Drosophila melanogaster: one gene and its partners. The protein of the gene in region 3 interacts with the protein of the main gene of each other region in a pairwise test. Each region holds a gene or a part of one and is shown on either strand. Other genes may lie near its edges. The genes, in order: CG33695, bun, cato and sr.

Region 1 (4,735 bases), on a different chromosome or scaffold from region 3:
ATTGTGCTCGGGCAGACTTTGGATGGCCGCCCGGGCCAAAAGGCCTCCTTGTGAGTATCCTGAAAAAGGCATAGTATTGGTAACTAAAAGAAAATACTCTAATGAAAATCGGCTGCCTTACCCAGCACAATGATGCCCTCTGGATGCAGTTTGCCCACCTCGTTGAGATAATCCCTAACCTGATCGACCTGTCGCCAGGCGTTCTCCAAGCTGTACCATCCATTGAACTTGTCGCAGTTGTAGACGATAGTGCCAGGATGAAACTACAAACGGACGAAATGAGTTTATCAGTGCTACTGCGTTGTTTGCGTCAAATTCGACCTTGCCACTGTAAACAATAACAAAGGGGAATCGAAAAACAAACCTCTTCGATTTCCCGGACCAGAGAGGCCATCGATTCGGCTCCTGATAGAATTCCATGGAGTATGACCACCGGTTTGTAGGCCAGTGAGACGGAAATGGACGAGCAGGTTAACAGGGCCACCAGGACTTGCAAACGAAGTCTCATTTTGTGGGGAACAATGGATTTCCGACTGTTGTTGTTGATGTATCCGTATCTTTATTAGCCGCTCTTCTTCTTGCTACCCGCTTTGGAAATTCTGAAAGTGCGGATTTGAAATCCGACATGCGAATGGCAATGTATGGGTTGCGAGCGCAATTATGAGCAGAACGAAATTTGAAAATGCATTCGAAATTTCTCGAGACTTCATTGTACAATAATTGGATGAATTTAAAATACGTGGTGTGCATTTAAAAGGAAAGGTTTATAAAATAGGTCCCATAAATTGGATGGGTACATTCAAATAAAGATAAAATGCAATATAATTTAGCGGACCATTAGAAACACAATTGAGTTTGCATTGGGTGCTTTAAAAATATAATTATATATATGCTTTTATAATACAGTCTGATCAAAATAAAAGTATGAAGTACAAATTACAGCAATGAGATTGTAGAAGCCATTGCAAATAACTAAATTTCTACGCTCCTTGGGCTTTCCTAACTCCAATAAAATCCCAGAGATCGCCGAATCTTAAAATAATGCTCGTTTATTCACTCTCAACTTACACGATCGTCGTTATGTACTTTGCACTATTGTGTCTTGCGTAAATTTAAGTCTAGGCGGCGCATATACGCTCCGCAATTAATATCTACGCTCTGTGGCTGGCGATCCACAGACTCGTCCTCCACATCGCACAATTCATTTGTCATCCGGGGCCCGGAACAAGGTGATTTCAGGGTATATCAAATATGACAACACTTAACAGTTTAGACTTAGGGCTAGGGCGGCATCTCAACCTTTTTGCTTAAGAGTTCTCGATCTGGATTTGTAGCGGTTCTGTTCCAAGTTACGTGATTCGTTCTGCGGCCGGAGATCTAGTAGAAGAAGTCCAGCCCGTTCCGAGGGCTCGAACCTCACCCGGCCACCTCCTCGCTGACAAAATCCAGCTTGACCACCTCTGCGGGCAGGCACTCCTCCACGTCCACCTCGTTCTCCTGGACATTGATGCGATTGAGGGTCATGGACACGTCTGGTCCGCACTTTAAGCCTGCTGGCGCCCCTGCTGGCGATCCTACTGTCGCCGCTGCCGCTGGAGGATTGGAGGTGCTAACCACATCGTCGGCAATCACCACCGTGGGCGAGAGTACTGTTGGAACAGTGGACACTGCCGACACAACGGGCACCACGATCTGCGTCGACGAGCAGGTGGACACCATATGTGGCTGCTGCACCACTGTCGCCGTAGTCGAAGTGGGCTGCTGGATAATGATGTTCTCCGTGATGGTGGGCGTGTTGTTGGCCGTCGAGGCTGCAGCCTGGGCTGCCGCTAATGCCGCAGCCTTCTGCATCTGCTGGTACTGCTTAACAGTCACCGTCGTGCCCGTCGTAGTTGTATTAGACTGTGGATGCAGGATGATCTGCTTTGGCTGCGCCACCAGCTGTACGTGCTGCACGATTGGCTGTGACTTGAATACTTGAGGAGGTGGCTGCTGAAGGGGCTGCTGCGGCTGCTGTTGTGGCAGCGTCTGGAGAACGTGTTGCACCTGCTGGACGGGCACTTGCTTGGCGGGAATGCCGGCGTCCTCGAAGGCCTTCTTCTTCAGCGCCTGGCGGATCTGAGAACTGCAATGGGGAAGGTCAATTAAAACTAGCACGTACACACTGGGCAGCCGGTTCCCTCGCCAGGAGCACAGGATCACTTACACGGTGCGGTTCTTGATGCTTAGGCTGATCTTGGTCAGGTCGTCGGAGAAGCGCATTATGGACGAGTGCAGCATGTCGATCTCCTCGTCCGTCCACTTCCTGCAGCCGTGGCGAGGGAACAAGGCACACAGAAACACTCCGATTAGTGTCCACAAAACTCGCGACTCCACCGCATAGAATCAACTTACCCCGATGGCGACTCCGCATTGGGATGCAGCTGCATGGTTAGATCGCCCAGTCTGCTGAACGCCTGTCCGGCGGCCGTGAATATCTCCCCCACCTGCAAGTGCATGCGGATTTGCATCCGGAGTCAGTTTGTTGTTACCGCGTGCAAATTCAAAACAAACGCACCGCCCCTGCCCACCGCCCGCCGGCCCACTCACGGTGGAACAACAAATTTCCCACTCGCAGGAGTGAGACAAACGAATGACTCTCGACTCTCTCCCGCGCCGCCTTTTTCTCGCTTGCAACGCGCGGAGGCGCTGGCGACGGGATCAACGCGGTCGGAGCTGCCGGCGGATGTGGTGGAGCGGCTGAACCTACCTTGATTGCCGAGTTCATGGCCTTTTTTCGCGGGGCGCTGTTTTTTTGTCGTAATTTTACGTAGTTTTGCGTCCGCAGCTATTCAACACTGACGCCGTACACAACACTCAAGCGGCCGTCAATTTTCCAATGCACAACACTAGAATATGTATTTGCGCTACTATCGACTTATCGATTGGTGCAATCGGGAATTCAAACAAGAAGCGTTATGCTTATTTAGATTTACATTTAAGTAATTTATGTCTTTTATTATTAGAACCAGCAACTTATGCGAATCTGATTTTAACATTAAGAAAATGTAAATAGTTTATTCAATGCTATACATATGAACCAAATATTATTACACATGATGAAGGAAACATTTCTTAATTAACAATATTTAACTATTTATCGAATTTAACTATTAAACAAAAACCAGCATAATACAGATTTAAATTTAAATACTACGATCACGATTGTTTTTGTAATTTTTGTATTGATAGTATTTGACAAATACTTAGGGCGTAAATATAAATAGAAAACTTTATGATGTGGAATTCCACCGTTTGCAAGATAACACCTAACAAAAGAAATCCCTAATACTTGGATAACATTAATCATCTTTTTTATCATCGTTGAACTCAACGTTTTGCCTCCAGTCCGAACTCAGTCTTTGTTTGCAGCTCCGCTGCTCGCAGTGGCAATTGCCACCTGCAATATTAGTTAAAACCACATAAAGTTTAGACGATTTCGCGGCCAAGCAAACCTTAACTTACCTAAAGGAACGGTCGTAGTTCCGCCGTCACGTAAGTCGTTTCAGCAAAACTGCTTACGGTTCTCATCGTAGGCCGTCATCCGTCGATTCTTCCGCTCCGCAGTCTCTAGGCTGCTGGATTTCTTTACGAGAGAAATAAAAAAAATATTACATGCTTGAAATTTAGAAGATCATACGTACCTTTGGCACACATTCAGCGGAATTGCAGTCCAGGGGCTTCTTTGTTGCTGGAACAGCTGCAGGAGTCGGCGATCCATTCGAGGAATTCAACTCAATGGACACATCGCCTCCGTTCACTTTTTGCGTGTGTAAAGCCGGCAGTTCGCGCTTTAGCTTAGCCAGGAGCTCGGTGACTGTGCACAACTTCTCCTCAAGATTACGCTTGTCTTCTAACAGGCTAGAGATGGTGCCGTCCATGCGTTCCTTCTCCGATCGAAAGTTGATTTCCCTGGTTTTCTAGGCGATTTAAAGAGAAAACATTAAGCTATTTTATAAGAGCCTTTGATTGCAATTATTCTACCAGAGTTGATCGTAGTTCTTCGTACTCCCTCGTACGTTTATCAACCTTCTGTTCCATCTCGAGGCTTCTTTTATTGGCCGCTTCTATGGCTAAACTTTGCTTAATCCATGCCTTTCGCAGTGATGTAAAGGCGGTTTCATTGGATTTCAACTGGGCGTCAAGTAGTGCGTTTTTCCCATTCTTCTCATTAATAACAGTCAGCCTTTCCTCTAACTCTTGTTTATTCTGTTGCAGTATAAGTTCCTTTGATTCCTAAATAAATATTTCATTAGCGACCGAATAACCTACAAAGACAAGTCTAATATTACCAATGTTGAACGGAGCTTTTCGCAATCCTCTTTGAGCGCCTTGTTACCCGAACTCAACTTTTCCTCCATCTTGCGGTTTTCCTCCTTTAGATTAGAAATTGTTTCATCCAACAGTTGCTTTTGCGTTTGGAAATATTCTTCTTTGGATTGCTGAAAAATTTTAATTACCTATATTGTAATCAACCAGATAGATTACCAGATTAATTATTACCAGATCGGAACGTAAGCTCTTGCACTCTTTTGTGAGATCGTGAAGATTCTTCTTCATTTCGAGATTTAAATTATTTGCTGCTGTTATGTCTGATAGATAATTTTTCGAGGTTTCTAGCAATTGCTCATTATGCAACCGAAGATCGGATATAGTCAAGTTCAAAGTTTCCCTTTCTTTTAGGAAATCATTAGTT
Region 2 (5,471 bases), on a different chromosome or scaffold from region 3:
CCTCTGCTCACTGCCTTCCTCAATAGCAAAAGCAACAACAAGGAGATGGGGTGAAAAGAAAATGAGAACTAAAAGTGCAGACAAGAAGCAAGCAACAGAAGAAGAACTAATTGCAACGACAAAGCATAAAATCGATGGCAAGCCAACAACAACAAATGTAATGAAAAGCAACTACAACAGATAGTACAGAAAGAGGCAAGCGCGAGCGAGAGAGAGTGAGTGTGAGCGAGCGAATGCGCGTTGAGAAAATTGCAATCGGAGAGCGGGAGCTGCAAGAGAGCGAGAGCAGCCTGTTGGCCCCTCCGCAACCGCATCTACATCCACATGCTCCTTCCTACCAACGTGGGCGCCTACAAGTGGGCGGGACGGGGTGGGGGCCGCATACCAAACAAACCGCAAAAGGAGAGCGGCTGCTCGCTCGCACTCTCCCGCTCTCGGACAGCTGCCGGTAATCAATATTGATGATGATAGCAGCAGCCGAAGAAGATGAAAAGCAAAAGGAAAGGTGTCCCGATTGTTCGCAGTGCATCAAAGGTAAGCCAGGATATATTGCCAATACAAAATACGGTAATAAAATGCACTGCTGCTTTCTCAGCTAAACCATCAAAACCTTATCAAGCCCTACTAAACTTTAAGACTATCGGTAAAAACAAAAACGAAAATGGGATATAACAAAAAAGGCCTTTAGGAGCAAAAAATAGAAACAAAAAATAAATGGGTTATCCTCTAAAAAATCCTCTAAAAATTTATACCTTGCTGACAGATATAAAACTGAACTTTAAGGACACCAGGGTGTTAAATAATGCATAATGAAAATTCAACCGAGTTAATAACTTTTCAATCAGTGACTTTCCTTTCCTGTCTTTCACCCACAGGCACTTCCCACCTTTTCTTCGCTCTTTTCCTTTCCGCAAGGAAATGATTCACAATGCAAAAAAAATGGCAAGGGAAAAGGAAAAGAAAAACGAAGGCGTTGTAGGAGGAAGTAAAAGAACCCGAAAGAGCGAGAGAGAGCGATGTATGCAGAGAGAAGGCAATGAAAATGTTTATCAAACGAGAAAAGAGCAGCGACGAAGATGAGGAGGAGGCGGCTGCAAAAGGAACAACAACAAGCTAGAGATTACAATGACAATGCATCCATGAGATACTCAGATACAATTGAAATCGAATATAATTTCTCAATTGAATTGAGTCGCAGAATGTAAATAAAGCAACAAGACATCAAAGAAAATTGGTGCAAATAGGTGTTAAATGTACCGAAAGTGACAATACCCTAGATAAAATAATTAGTTATTTTTTTATGATGGTTTCATTCAAAAAGTTAACCAGTTGTTGAAAGATTGGTACTTTTCCGCTAGCAATCAACCCCGAAATTCCTACATTACAAAAAAAAATGAACTGATTGAATTCTGGTTTGGTCGACGTGACTGTCTGCACACGCATTTCTTTTATGCAGATAGATCCCTGTTCAAGAAACCCCAGCTTATTTCTTGCAACTTCTTGATACCGATACCTATGAAAGTAACTCGCAAAACAATCCAAACCTTTCTGAGTTTGTGCCATCGGTTGTATCAAAGAGTTGGCAGAAATCTGAAGTGTATCCGATTCCTAAACGCAAATATATCGTCCAGTTATAGTTACAAAATGGTGCATGGTAAGCAGAAAAATTTGCCACGCGGCTTGACAAGAAAACCGATCTGGCCTGAGGTTTATTTTGTTTTGCTTTGAAATCGGAGATGCGTTAAAAGGGATGATCATTATGATCGTGAAGATATTGTAGATTGGTTCAAGGGCATTCAAAGCTAATCAGATTTATTCATTTCAAGTTTGTATAAAAAGGGTACTCATACAGAGTGAATTTCATATTTTAGTTCATAAACTAGAAATTAATATTCTCAGAAATGCTGGTTGGTTTTTGCAAATCTACTATTATTGCACACCGCTGTTATTAAATACGTATCCATAATTCTAAACACTTGTGTGTAATTCGAGTTACCGTTAACCAAACAGAACACACAATTTTTTATATGAATTTCTACTAAAAATCACATATGAAAAAAAAATTACCCCATAATATCGGATGGCAAATAAGCAGAAAATTGCAAAATGGCACAAAAACAAAACTAACACTTGACTAAACAATCAAGGCGAAGCAGAACAGAAAATAAACAACAATGCCGGGCCAGCTGACATTATAAACAAAGGTAAATGGCACATAAAATACAGTAGAAAACGAAGGAATATTGGAGTTAATCAAATGCTTGGCCAGCTGTTTTGGAGAAATGGGAATGGAAAGAGGAAATGGGAAAAATCTAAGGTACAAAGTGCAAGCTGCAACAACAACTGAGCGAAAGTGAAGAAGCAGACCAAAAGGATGGGCACACACGCTGACACACACACACACACACACACCAACAATTACGCGACTGTTTTGCACTTTTGTTTCATTGAATTTCTCTGATTTTTCCTTCGTTTTGAAACATGTTTCGATTTGCTTTGCTTTTTTATTGGTTACTTTCTGATCGATTTGTTGCACTAAGAGGCAAAGGCCTCTCTTTTACATTTTTACCACACTTACGCGTATGTCAAACAATTTAAAATTACTTGTTTCTTGGCGTAAAACAATAAACTTAAAACAAGCGAACGGCCACGAATTTAATTTGGATGGGATATTAGTTTTTCGTTGCGTTTTGCTAATCGGACAAAAGGAAGGTAAATGACAGTTTTGACACTTGGCTGTGCACAAGCAAAAAGCGGAGAGCACTGCGAGAGAGTCGATTCGGAGAGCGAAAAAATGAGTGAGAGAGAGATGGAGAGAGAGAGAGAGGAATTAAATAAACGAAAAAGCGTGCATGAAAAATTGGCGAAAAAAGTTTTGTGCAAAAAAAAAAAGCGAAACGCCGAACTGCGGAAAGCAAACAATCGAATTCAACATTTTTTGTGCAAATTTTAACGCCAGGGAATTTTTTTCTTTTTAGTTTTCCTGGCAAAGGCGGCTCACACCCACACATACACAAACTCTCTCTCTATGTCTCTCTTTCGCTGCCACTCTCTTCAAATCTGCAGAGAGTCGGCAATCCACAATTTTTCGTTCTTTCGATTTTGCACATCTCTCCGCTTGTCACTTTACTTTTCGCAGCTCTTTGGCTTTTTGCAAATAAATTAATTTTTCAGCGCACATATAAATTTTCCATCAGTGCCATTTGTGCTCCGTTTTCTTATTCAATTTACACGCACACACAGCCGCAGCAGCAGCGCACACACATCTCTACATCTGCATGCCAGCTCGCTCACACACACAGCGACGCACACGTCACACTCATACACTCACACGCACGCACATACACAGTTTTTTCTTCGATTTTGCGCTAGCTCTCGCAGCCTTTTTTCGCTTTTCCTCGTCGTTTTCAAGGGCGCCGCGAGTTAAGCGATTTTGCAATACGTTCGCGGCGCGTTCGATTTGCGTTCTTTTACTTTTTATCCGTCTGCAGACAGCGAAAAAGACCAACAACTTGCCTTGCGTTTTTGTCCCAACTCAAAATGCCAATAAAAATATAATATCAAATAATAATACCAAATACTGAATACGGGATTTTTGGCACATATAGCGGTCACACTATACTGTTCAAAACTGATATTTTAGCATTTTTTGGTTTGGTTCTGTGCTAAATACAACTATCGATTGTTAAGTTCTACACGCAGGCGATTGTCGTGCGATATACGATATCGTTTACATATCGTTTAGAAATCCCTAGCGCAACATTGGCGCTCGTTTTTCCATTATTCGAAAATGAATTTAACATAAAATTAACATATACTTTAGAACTAAGTTATACTAAGGCGAGTGGCACAACTCTACTTTTATTTGATTGTTTTAGGAATCATTTTTGTATATAATGGGCTTATATAATGTCGATAATAAGTTCTGGTCAAAAATCGGACTATTATAAATTTTAATTATATTTATATTTAATATCATATCATCTATAATTATCATATAATATAGTTAAATTTTTTATTAGCAAAATAACTGCAGTAGTTACTCTTTTTGTGTCGAAATCACTGAAAAAATCGTTAAACAGATCCCGCGTCGAAGTACCGAACCAACAATTTTACATTTACATATATTTTACATTGGTTCGCTTCTTTGCTTTGATTTAGAAGCGAATTTCAACGAATCTAAGCGAATTCAAACGACTAAAATTCGATTGGTAAATCTTTATAAAAATATATGTAACAAATAATTTGAATCATTAAGAAAATTAATACCTTAACAATGCTTAAATTTGTATACTTTACTTGTTTTTATAAACAAAATAGATACATAGAACTGGCGCTCAGTTTTCTATTTTTTCTATTAAATTTTTCTATTGATGTTTATTAAAGCTTAAAAATAAACATAAATTATTGCCAGTAATTATGTAACTGCTTTTGAGCATTTCCTGTTCTAGCGCTAAGACTTCTCAAGAAAGTTTTGTGGAGTAACAGGTATCTGATAGTCGCACTGCTGCTTGTTACCTTCTTGCATTTATTTAACTCTTTGGTTCTTCTTTTAATTAAGTACCTTGCTGATACTCTGCTTGCTAACTTTAATCAGTTAAGACTTTAAATATATTCAACTCTTACCAACTTTCTTAAGCTGGCTAACGGGTATCTAATAGTCACACCATTCGACTAAGACATTCCTTTTTTCTTTTTTTTTTCGTCCTGATGGAGTTCAGTGAAGCGTTCTGATTTTCTTGTCAAAGCGGAAAGAAATCACGCTAATGATCGACGCACCCTCCACCAATTGAAACTCCACTAAGGAGTTCTATATATGTACATATGCATGTATATACAATTATATATATATTTATATAGTATATCGCAACTGACCACTTCGTTCGCAACGGAACGTGTTCGGGATTAGAATTAATTCCACTGACCAGCCCCGCCCCGCCCCGCCCACTTTCACACAGCGACTGCAGGCGACACCCTCGCATTTGGCCAACGTCTCATTTAAATTGCAGCAGGCAGGAAAAACATTTGGCAAACATTTTTCGCCCCCCAAAAACTGCCCCTTTTTTCGCTTGTGGCATTCAAAGGTTTGACGATTTGCCGTACATGTTTGGTGCGTAATTAGTGCAGACCGATGCGTTGCACCCTTGTGAAATGCCAAAAGTCCTGCGATCCACTCAATCGTGCTCACTGGCATTTTTTCCTTTTCTTTAACAATTTCCATTTGATTGCATTCGTGGGGAAGAAAATGCTGGCTCCGGCATTCATTGGGGTGACCAACGTTGGCGGGCTTAACTGTCATTTCCATGAGATGCCCATTTGGTCAAGCACACACTGAGCGAAAAAGGTTAAAAAATTACATATGTATATTTTTTTGAAATTGTTTTAATTTTTCTGTATTGAAAAATAGATAATATATAATAACTCATGTTATTTCAGATTATGATAAAACGAAAATAAGTTCTAGATTCTTT
Region 3 (3,738 bases):
AGCACAGCGCTGGGCATCATCAAAGAGCATCTCCACAGGAACACCGTGCTTCAAAAGCCAGATGCCAGAGAAAGAGAAGCATTATATCCACCCAGAAGGATGCGGCGCATTCTTATGACCAGACCGATTTCAAGGCCAAGGAGACCAGTACTTCGTCCATCCCACAAAGCTAATGCTCCCATTCTGAAGGAGAACAGAACCCTGCTGCTCACCAGCAATCCCTTTCGAAACTTGAGCTTCAGCGATCACAATCGAGAAGTTATTGTCCTGCATCCGCCGGATCCTGGCTTTCGGCCATCGAAAAACTCCTTCAGCAAGGGCGAAGTGGAGGTGCAGCACATCACAGTGCCCAACGAAGATACCGTTGTGAAGCCCGTGCCACCCACGCCACCTACGAAACCCAAAAGGACATCGGTGATCAATCCATAGCTGTTATGTCCTCACACAAACTCGCCCTCTCGTCATAAAAAAAAAAAAACAGCACCCAACCGAAGCCGAAGGACTCAGCTGCCTTTTTTATTCAATGAGAGGAGTTTTGGCCAGGAGTTCAGGGGTGTCACGCTACACCGCCCACTGTGGTGGCTTCGCAGTTTCGGAATCGTTCGGGGTTAGACCAAAACTTGAAGTACGCCTATCAATGAACTGTTGAGTAATTAATTTATGATCGTTTTTGAAATCATTGAGGCGTAGCCAAACGATCTGATGGCCAATTGAATCTGGGGATCTGTGAATAGTAGTGGGCTGGTTATAATTGGTAGAAAGGGTTAGATGAGTAGCTCATTTTGGATTGAACACTTGGTTCACAATCAAGCGATGCGTTCCATGAATAATGCCTTTGAAATTGAAATTATTTTTAGCATTCAATTAAACATTTCAATTTATTTCATTACATATTTAACTTAATCTACAGTAAGAAGAAAATCACATAACTTTAGTCTAGTATCATCCATCTATGACAAGGATCCTCCGCTCAATCCAAATCCACTATCGCTGTCGCCGAAGATGGTGTATGCAGCGGCATCCACTTCCACGTCCCCGTTGTTGAGAAGATCGCACAGCGCCAGGATGTAGGACTGGGCCATCTGGAGAGTCTCGAACTTGGACAATTTCTGGTCAATGGACGGAGCGGGCACCACTTCCCTTAGGCGCTCGAAAGCCGCATTCAATCCATTCATCCGCTTCCTTTCCCGCGCATTGGCAGCCTGTCGTCTCCTTTTCTGGACCGTGGGACTGAGATTGGTCTGCTCTGGACTGCTCTTCCTACCGTCCGATCCTGTGAAGCTGTTACTCCGCCGTTTGGTCTGCGGCTGGGTGTGCTGTCCTTGCGCCTCCATGATGGGTCCTAGTTCCGTTTGAGTTCCGCCTGCGGCATCCAAGAATTGCCATTCCGGCGATAAGAAAGCCCCCTGTCCGTAATCCTGGCCAGAAACTGGCGGCAACTGGGTCAAGTTGTAGTTGGGACTGCCCAGGTACTGGGAACTGCCATCCTCCTCGGAGGCAGACGAGTAGTAGTAGCTCATTGCAGATCCGAGCGGCTTGAAAGTTTCGTTGCAACTGAAACGATCCGATCGGATCCAGACTTGACTACGGTCAACCCCCGCGAGATGCATTCTACAAATATTTTCACCGCCGTTCTGACCAAGTTTGTGTAAATGGCCCGCAAATGACCCCTGGCCCCAGGATCCTCGCAGCTATTACCATGGCCCGGCCAAAGGATCTCCCCGAGGAGCTGGGGTGACTTAGGGGTTAGATATGTTTCCCTCCCTTTCGCTCGGTGGTGAAACGCCTACACTTCGCCTGTTGCCATCTCTTTCGCGCCAGGCACGCGTCATATCTTGCCAAATTGGTACTATCATGCCATGGGATCTTCCCCTCTCTCTCTCTCCCTCTCCCTCTGTCGCCCATAATTTGTGACTTTCACGCTCAACGGCACACGAGCGTGTGGAGGGGTGGGGGGCTCGGAGCTCGCGAGGATGAGCTACTGTACTGGTTGGCATGGGCCATCAATTAACCCGCTGGCGAACTGCATTGTGGCTCGCGTCTAGTGACCATATGCTGTACTCTGCTGTGCCGTGCTGAGCTGCACCGACCCGACTTTGACTTCGGTTAGGAACCAACATATGGTCGATGCCCATGGCACTCAGTGGTTGCCTTTGGTCCTGGAAATTTGAAGTCCTTGGCAGGCACACGACATTTGCCGTCTAGCCAGTTGTCGAATCAAACTATTAACTCGAATTGAACAGATCTTTCCTTTACTATTAAGTGGCTATGAAAAATAGTCTATTGATGCGTTTGATAATTGCCTTATGTTTCACAAAAATATCTTACTATTACTATAACCATACCATATATATTATGTTTTGTTTCACTACCAAATATGTCTTCTTTTCATAAAGCGAATCGCCAATTATTCAGTGTAAAACATGCTTCGTAAATATGTTGAATAAAATTAATTTTGAAAGGAAGCATTTCATTTATTTCATTAACTAAAAAATAAGTTTTCCCAAAATTCATCAAATGTGTGCCAAATCTGACAAATACTTCTCCACTTTATGTGATTATTGTAAAGTCATTTATATTTTTTGCTGGCCGAATATCTTAAATATGATATTCCTTTGCTCTCAATATTCTTTACTTTTAATCCTTATCTCTGGCTCCTGTTGCTCTGGATTGAAGACCAGTTTGCGCATGTACCAACACTGCACATTGAGCGAAACTATCTTTTTTTTGGCATAAACACTTATTTTAAAGAAAAGCGTGCTTTCATGTTTTGAGTATACAATGATTATATTAGACACTACGTCTAACTAACTATTAGTATAAGTATTCGTTAAATCCTAAAAGATGTACAAAAATTTTTGGTTTACTTTTGGATAACCTTTTTACTCAACACTCATTCAGAACCGTTATAAGTTTATGGTTTAAACTGAAAATTTATATTTTAGGTGTTTTTTAATGTTTGAATATATTTTAAACATTTTTAATACTATATAATAGATAATTGTCTCCGTGTTATCATTACACTCCTCGCATGGAAATCTCTCTCTCTCTCGACGGCTTGTGCTCGGCTCCCATTCGGTTTTGTGGGGAAACACGAGACGAGGACGACAAGGAGCTTCGTGTCCTGATACAGCAACAGGATTAAATATATATGACGAGCCGAGCAGCGCAGTGTTATCATTTGAAGAAAAGAGTTGGTCGCCTGTGAACACGGTGAACTTAAGCATTAGAGGTTTAAGCTTATCAGGATATAGGAGTGCACCCAGCTTACACATCGATAGATAGCTCAGCTGAGCGCGAAAGTAACTGGAATAAGTAAGGGAATCACTGGTCTAGCGAAGCACCCAGCCACGGATGTGTCTGTACTTGGGAGTGGTGGAGCACCTGGTGGATGTGGTGGCCTACTGCATGTGCCGTGTCCTGGAGCTGTCCCTGTTCGCCTGCATGATGGTCTGCGGCTCCATGAGAGCCAAGCTGACCCACGGACCCACCAACGAGCTGGAGCAATGACCAGGACACCAGGAGTGCTGCTAAAAGGATGCGCGCGTTTGTGTGTTTGAGTGTGTTTCGACTAAAATTTAATAAAGGCAACTTTTCTAGTGGCGAATAAATTACAACTCATATGTGCTTGTAAACGATTGTCTTTTCCTCCCGTTGGCTGGCCCTTTGGAATTGAGCCATAACTCAAGATGGCCCACGGCAAGGATGTGGCCAAAGGGACTGGCTGTTTATCCTTCA
Region 4 (5,669 bases), on a different chromosome or scaffold from region 3:
TTTTATTTATTTGAATAAAATAACACAATCACTTATGTTGAGAATTTTAGCGAACTAACGCTTTAGGCCATTTCGAAACCAAATCTTTAGATTTGTATGAAAACCTCGTTAGAATCTCCTTCTTAGAAATAAATGCGAAGCATGTGAACTTATCAGATGGCGTTACAGAAGTTGTTTACTGAAATGAAATCCTCCGTTAGCAACTTATCACTTATCAACTGACATTTGGCAAAAAGTTGTGGAATTCCACGAAAACCAAACACTCGAAGGGCCCAAATACCGAACTTTAGAAGGACCAAACAAAAAAAAAAAAGCGAAAAACATGCAAAACGCTAAATGCTAAAACGCCCCCGTTCGCTCCATCAACAAAACGGCAATTAGAGTTGCACAGTGGAAGCTAAAGCTTCGTCCCTGCGATGACATTTAAAGGTTAGAGGTTGCGAGCATCAATCAAAAGGCAGCTACACAAGTGGAATGGAAGTCCCATCCTGTGCTGTTCTGCTCCATTACTCTAGCGCTGAAACAAATGAGCAATAATAAAAATAATAATATTAATAATAATAATAACGAGGGGACAGCGCTTCCTGGAAGGTGGAAAAACCGAAGGGACATTTTCGTTGGCTGGGAAAACGAGAACAATAAGGTTATCCAAGCTGGACCTGTTGATTGCCTGCCTTCATTTCGCCAAATGTGCTCCACTTCTACTTCACTTTTCCTAGTGGAAATAATTTCCAGCGTGGGCGTGTAAGAAAATGCTCGACTGGGATGCTAATAGATGCGATTAAACGCCCACACTGTCAGATATTATTGACTAGAAGATGAGGATGAAGTTAAGGGCAGGGGCACAGCTAAATGGCAGATACGGCACAGTGGGCTAATACTGCCCATGAATACTGTTAGAATAAATGTATTCGGGAAAAAAGAAAATCTCTAAATGTTAATGTGTAAGGCAAAGTTGTGAATACTTTCTATTATTCAAAATATTATAATGTGAGAAATTAATCAATTGCTTTATATTAATCATACGCAGTGTGGTCATAAATATTTACTAAATTGAAAAGTTAAAACAATTACACTATAAACCCTATTTATTATATTATATACACTATATTACACGATTTGAAATAGTTAATAGCTGATAGGTACCCAAAGCTTTTGTACACATTTGAAGACTGATTTGAACCACTGTGCAGAAGGAAGCCAGAAGCTACTAGCATTTTCCACTCGAGAAGAGTCTCGGGAGAATGGATACAGGATGCTGGTGCCTTGCCCTTTTCCCGAAACGTCTGCCACGTGTGTGGGATGTCCTGCGGCTGGAGGCTCCTGTTGCTCTTTGGCCAACCCACCGCCCGCCAATCGATGGCAGACCAAAGGTTGCCGGTCACATTCGGATAAATATATGAATGGAATGGAAAGCGAAAAACTGAATTGAGCTTATCAATGAAAAAAGCTCCCGTTGATGTGTCCGCTCAACTAGAAGTTCATTCATAAATTTTCCTGATTTTCCGCTAAGCGAATAGAGCAGCTGAACCCAAAGAAGCTCGCCCTGTTATCCGGTTGAACTTTGATATTTCGGTATTCACAGGAGAAGGTCCTGCCTTCCGTTTCTCTGCCCCTTTGTGGGGGAGTCGCTTCAAATGTCAGCTGCTCCTGACTCCATTTAAACCGCATTATTTGGCCGGAAGCTTTGGCTGGATTCGTTACACCTGCGTGTTTAATTAGCCAGGCAATTTCAACTTGTTGCAGAAAATTTGCGGCTACCAATTGCCGGTTGACCTTATACATATGAGCAGCATTCCCCGCGCTGTGCCCCTCGCACATTCGCACACGGAACACGTGTACGTGACTTTTAACCTTTTCATGTGGCAGCGCTAATTGATTTGTTTTACGCACGTGTCGCTCTGCAGGAGTGCAAATACATATGTATCGCGTGGGCTACGCATACTAACGTCCTTCATATTTTAGGCCATAACCAGCAATTCGTCATTCAGTCAAATAGCTTGTGTTTGAGCCAAAAAGAAGTTGTTGCAAGGCTGTTCTTTGAGTTTTCCATTAAAAAAGATAAACAAGAGGCCAACAAAAGTATACTTAAAACAACCAATATGTTGTAAAAGTTTCATAAATCATTATATTAAGCCTTATCTTTGTATATTTTTATTAGTTTTAATTTTAGTTATTATTTCCATTCATATTGAATGGAGGTAAACCACGAAATTCAATTGACTTCTCGAACATTCGACGGCTTCATAAAAAAACCAGGTTTCTTTCGAAATGCAAATGGAGTCTATCTGCAAATGGTATTTGGCAAAAACAGCTCCTAAATATTAAGGAATGTGTAAATAATTTTATGCAAAATGATCTCATTCGATTCGGTTTGTACAGAAATTTCGAAGATGTGTAATCTTTTCCATCTCATTCATCATTAAAAATGTAAGGTTTTTCAATGAGACTACAAATATTGAATGAATTTTTATATTTAATAATTAAATAGAAAACAAATCTGGTTTAGCTAATGGCTAAAAACCTTTATGGTTTTGTGAAATAGGAATTTATGAAAATCACAAAATATTTTATGTTAATTACCTTTATTGAATTATTTTAAGAAATCATCCAATAAAATAATTTGGATTTACGAATATATGTTTTCGGGCAATATTCGTACAATTTATTAATAAATTAAAACTAATGTAACATGACCGTAATAAATTCGGCCCCGCTTCAATTTTCCCCATCATATATATGTAATAAAGCCTTATATTTGGCTTTCGCCCCAATTAAAGGCCATTAGAGGCCATAACCAAACCGACAATCACCCCTTTCCCGCTGTAACCATTAATATACTTGTTCAGATGTCGATGGTGGATGGCTGGGCAATATAGGCAGGGTCTACTACTACTACTACTTACCAGCTATAAAAAGGCAATCAGATGTCGTCGATTCGGAGGCAAGTCGGCGACAACAGAGCACGCAAGCGCCCAGAAAGCTGGTCTGGCTAGGGCATCAAGATTTGGGCGCGTAAATAGGCAGGATCGTTGGGATTTTCATCTGTAGTCCAACAGTCGCGCGGATTGCGGATCGCGCGACTGCGTTTGTAATTAATTACGAGGCGGGCCAAAAAGGCGAACGCACGCGCGACTCACTATAAACCGCAACCGCGATTGCAACTGCAACAACTACTGCCAACTGCGACTCTGAAACTTCAGATGGCCAAGCATAAGATAAGATGCGCAGCTGTATAGAACGTGGCCAAGTCAAAGGAAGCGACGTAGCTACTGCGATTACGCGAAAGATATCCACCGGCTGTAATCGCGATCTCGTTGGCTAGCGAAGAGTTGGCAACTAGTTCCCGGCTTCTTCGGTGCAGATTATGCAATTTTGATTTGAAACACGCAATTTGATGGGCTAGTCGAGATATTGGGCTACGGGCTATCTTTCGGCTTAATTCGCTTAACGATCTCATGCACAGGGCGCGTAAATCGGGGCTATAAGATCCCCTGCTCTTTTTTTTATTCTCGAATTTATTGTGCTCAACTTATTAGACGATAATTTCCTTCCGGTTGCGATGCGTTTTTTTTTTGCGATTCAATCCGTCGTCCGACTGTCGGCGGTATTAAAAAATACGGTTTGCTTCGCTTTGCAGCGCTGCCTTGACTGTTTTGCCTCGGTTTCACTGTATCTGTACCTGTACGTGGCTTTGTATCTGTATCCGTTTGCGATGGCAGTGTGTGAGTGTGTGGCAGTCGTGGGCTGATCATCGCCTTACTTAGAGATCTGTCGCCCAGTTGAGATGCCTCGTCTGAGTGTTGTTGTTGTTGTTCTTGCTGCCGTGTGTGGGCACAACTGTACATGCGGACGGGCTAAGCTAGCCGTCCTCGTCGCACTCATGACCGGGGGATTGCCGGTGGGGCAACGAACAACGAACAACAAACAACAAACACCACAAACCACACACACAACCCCCGCAACGCCTCAAAGTGCTTTTCTCTCTCGCTGAGCTTCTATCGCCTAGCATAAGGCTGTAACACCTTTGGATTACTCTTAAGCCGTTTTCCTACACTGAAAAGAAGTGTGAGTGTCAAAAATGTCCTGCGTGCCTTCATCTTAGTTAAACTAAATAATTGGTATTTCTAAATCCTCTTCAGCTGTTAGTAAACCAATATATGTAATATTTTCATTGACATTAGAAGAAGTGTTTTGTAAATAGGAATTATTTATTTATCAATAATCTTCATTTAAGTCATCTTAAATTGTTTTCAGTGCACCGGAACGTGCCAAGTTCTACGAGTGGTTGTGTGGGCTTTCCTCGGTCTAAAAGCCCACACATTTAGCCAACACTCTTGATCGCAACCCTCTTAGTAGAATCAAAACCCCCTCCACGTGTGCAAAACCCTTTCATAGGGATACTTGTAGAATCTGCGTCATTCAATGCACTTGTGCAAACAGACATACATATGTACATACATATTTTAGCCAGGATTTTTACGGATGCAGTAAACTTTAAGGGTTTTCCTGGAATCGAAATCCAAATTCGTCTATCAATCCTGAAAGCTTTTGCTGGAAAGCTAGTCAGCTAAAAATAACACCAACGAAAGCTAATTGGCTGAAAAAAGCTTGGGCCCCCTTAGAAAAAAGCTTTAGAGGCAACAGCACCCACAGAAACGCACACCCACACACAAAAAAAACGCCAAACACACATACACACACACACACATGTGTATATACAAAGGGGTCACGTGGGTGGTTTCATTGATAAATTCATACTTTTACCTCTCGCTCTTTCAGCTGACTGCAAATTGAATTGCAAAATACTGCAGCTGTGCTCGCAGAAAGAGACAGAGCGATAGAAAGGGTGCAGGTGGAGAAAGGAAGCGGAAAGAGATGGAGCTACTGGAAGAGAAAGAGACAAGGACAGAGCCCCTCTGTGCACTGCTCCACTTTAAATAATGTGGGTGTGGATCAAGCCCGGCATTAGATTGTGAATGAAAACTCGAAAAGAGACAGCGAAACGCGGCTAGAAAGAGACGGAGAGCCGAGTTAAAAACGCCCACCAAGCTCACCTTACACAGACACACACACACACACACTCGCACTTTGGCTTCTAATCATATTCATATTTTACCCCCCCCCCCCCCTTCACAACTGAAAACTCGAATTCATTCATTCACAAAATGCTTATATATGGAAACTTGTCAATTAGTTCAAGTGTCTTACACTGAGCGAAACCCAAGTCCCAAGTCAAATTAATTATACTTAGCCGAATCGCCCACATCGGACATTTGACATTTGTACTCTTATTAACTGTAATTGCTCATTCAGAATGTGACACATGCAATAGTAATAACAAAGGCCAGCACAATTAGCTCGCCACCTTATAAGGCTTATACTTTGTTAGGAAAATAAATTTGAGAAATGGCACTAGAGACAATAGTATGGCCCAAAAACCCAATATTAAGATACAAAATCTAAGATACAAGATACACCACGTTGTATTCCGACAAACTACAACTATGAATAATCTATGAATAATAATACGTGAAGTGCTCGTACGTTTTGAACTGCATTCTGTTTGAAAATGATGAAATATTAGTAATTAAAATCCAGCTAACAACTTTCCATCACCTTAATTTGATAATTATATTATTGAAAACGTTTGCAATTCCAATCATTTT

The links.
Region 1: the proteins of cato (region 3) and CG33695 interact in a two-hybrid assay, tested with the Drosophila melanogaster proteins (one large-scale study listed by BioGRID).
Region 2: the proteins of cato (region 3) and bun interact in a two-hybrid assay, tested with the Drosophila melanogaster proteins (one large-scale study listed by BioGRID).
Region 4: the proteins of cato (region 3) and sr interact in a two-hybrid assay, tested with the Drosophila melanogaster proteins (one large-scale study listed by BioGRID).

What each region holds. Positions count from the first base shown.
Region 1 is NT_033779.5:11,276,145-11,280,879, reverse strand, and holds CG33695 (uncharacterized protein), read right to left. Parts: upstream 2,860-4,735; 5' UTR 2,768-2,859; coding exon 2,750-2,767; intron 2,730-2,749; exon of another isoform or gene 2,511-2,729; coding exon of another isoform or gene 2,487-2,510; coding exon 2,395-2,486; intron 2,306-2,394; coding exon 2,207-2,305; intron 2,126-2,206; coding exon 1,417-2,125; 3' UTR 1,033-1,416; downstream 1-1,032. Other genes in the region: Ppt2 (Palmitoyl-protein thioesterase 2), read right to left, coding at 1-59, 122-263, 365-508; cana (CENP-ana), read right to left, coding at 3,545-3,625, 3,684-3,959, 4,024-4,275, 4,332-4,481, 4,543-4,735.
Region 2 is NT_033779.5:12,543,065-12,548,535, forward strand, and holds the start of bun (bunched), read right to left. Parts: upstream 3,548-5,471; 5' UTR 3,346-3,547; exon of another isoform or gene 2,579-3,345; intron 1,280-2,578; exon of another isoform or gene 876-1,279; intron 535-875; exon of another isoform or gene 112-534; intron 1-111. UniProt on the Drosophila melanogaster protein: Probable transcription factor required for peripheral nervous system morphogenesis, eye development and oogenesis.
Region 3 is NT_033778.4:16,276,839-16,280,576, forward strand, and holds cato (cousin of atonal), read right to left. Parts: upstream 1,559-3,738; 5' UTR 1,521-1,558; coding exon 951-1,520; 3' UTR 847-950; downstream 1-846. Other genes in the region: CG33017 (uncharacterized protein), read left to right, coding at 1-429; prim (primacord), read left to right, coding at 3,355-3,510.
Region 4 is NT_033777.3:18,088,692-18,094,360, reverse strand, and holds the start of sr (stripe), read right to left. Parts: upstream 3,559-5,669; 5' UTR 2,907-3,558; intron 1-2,906.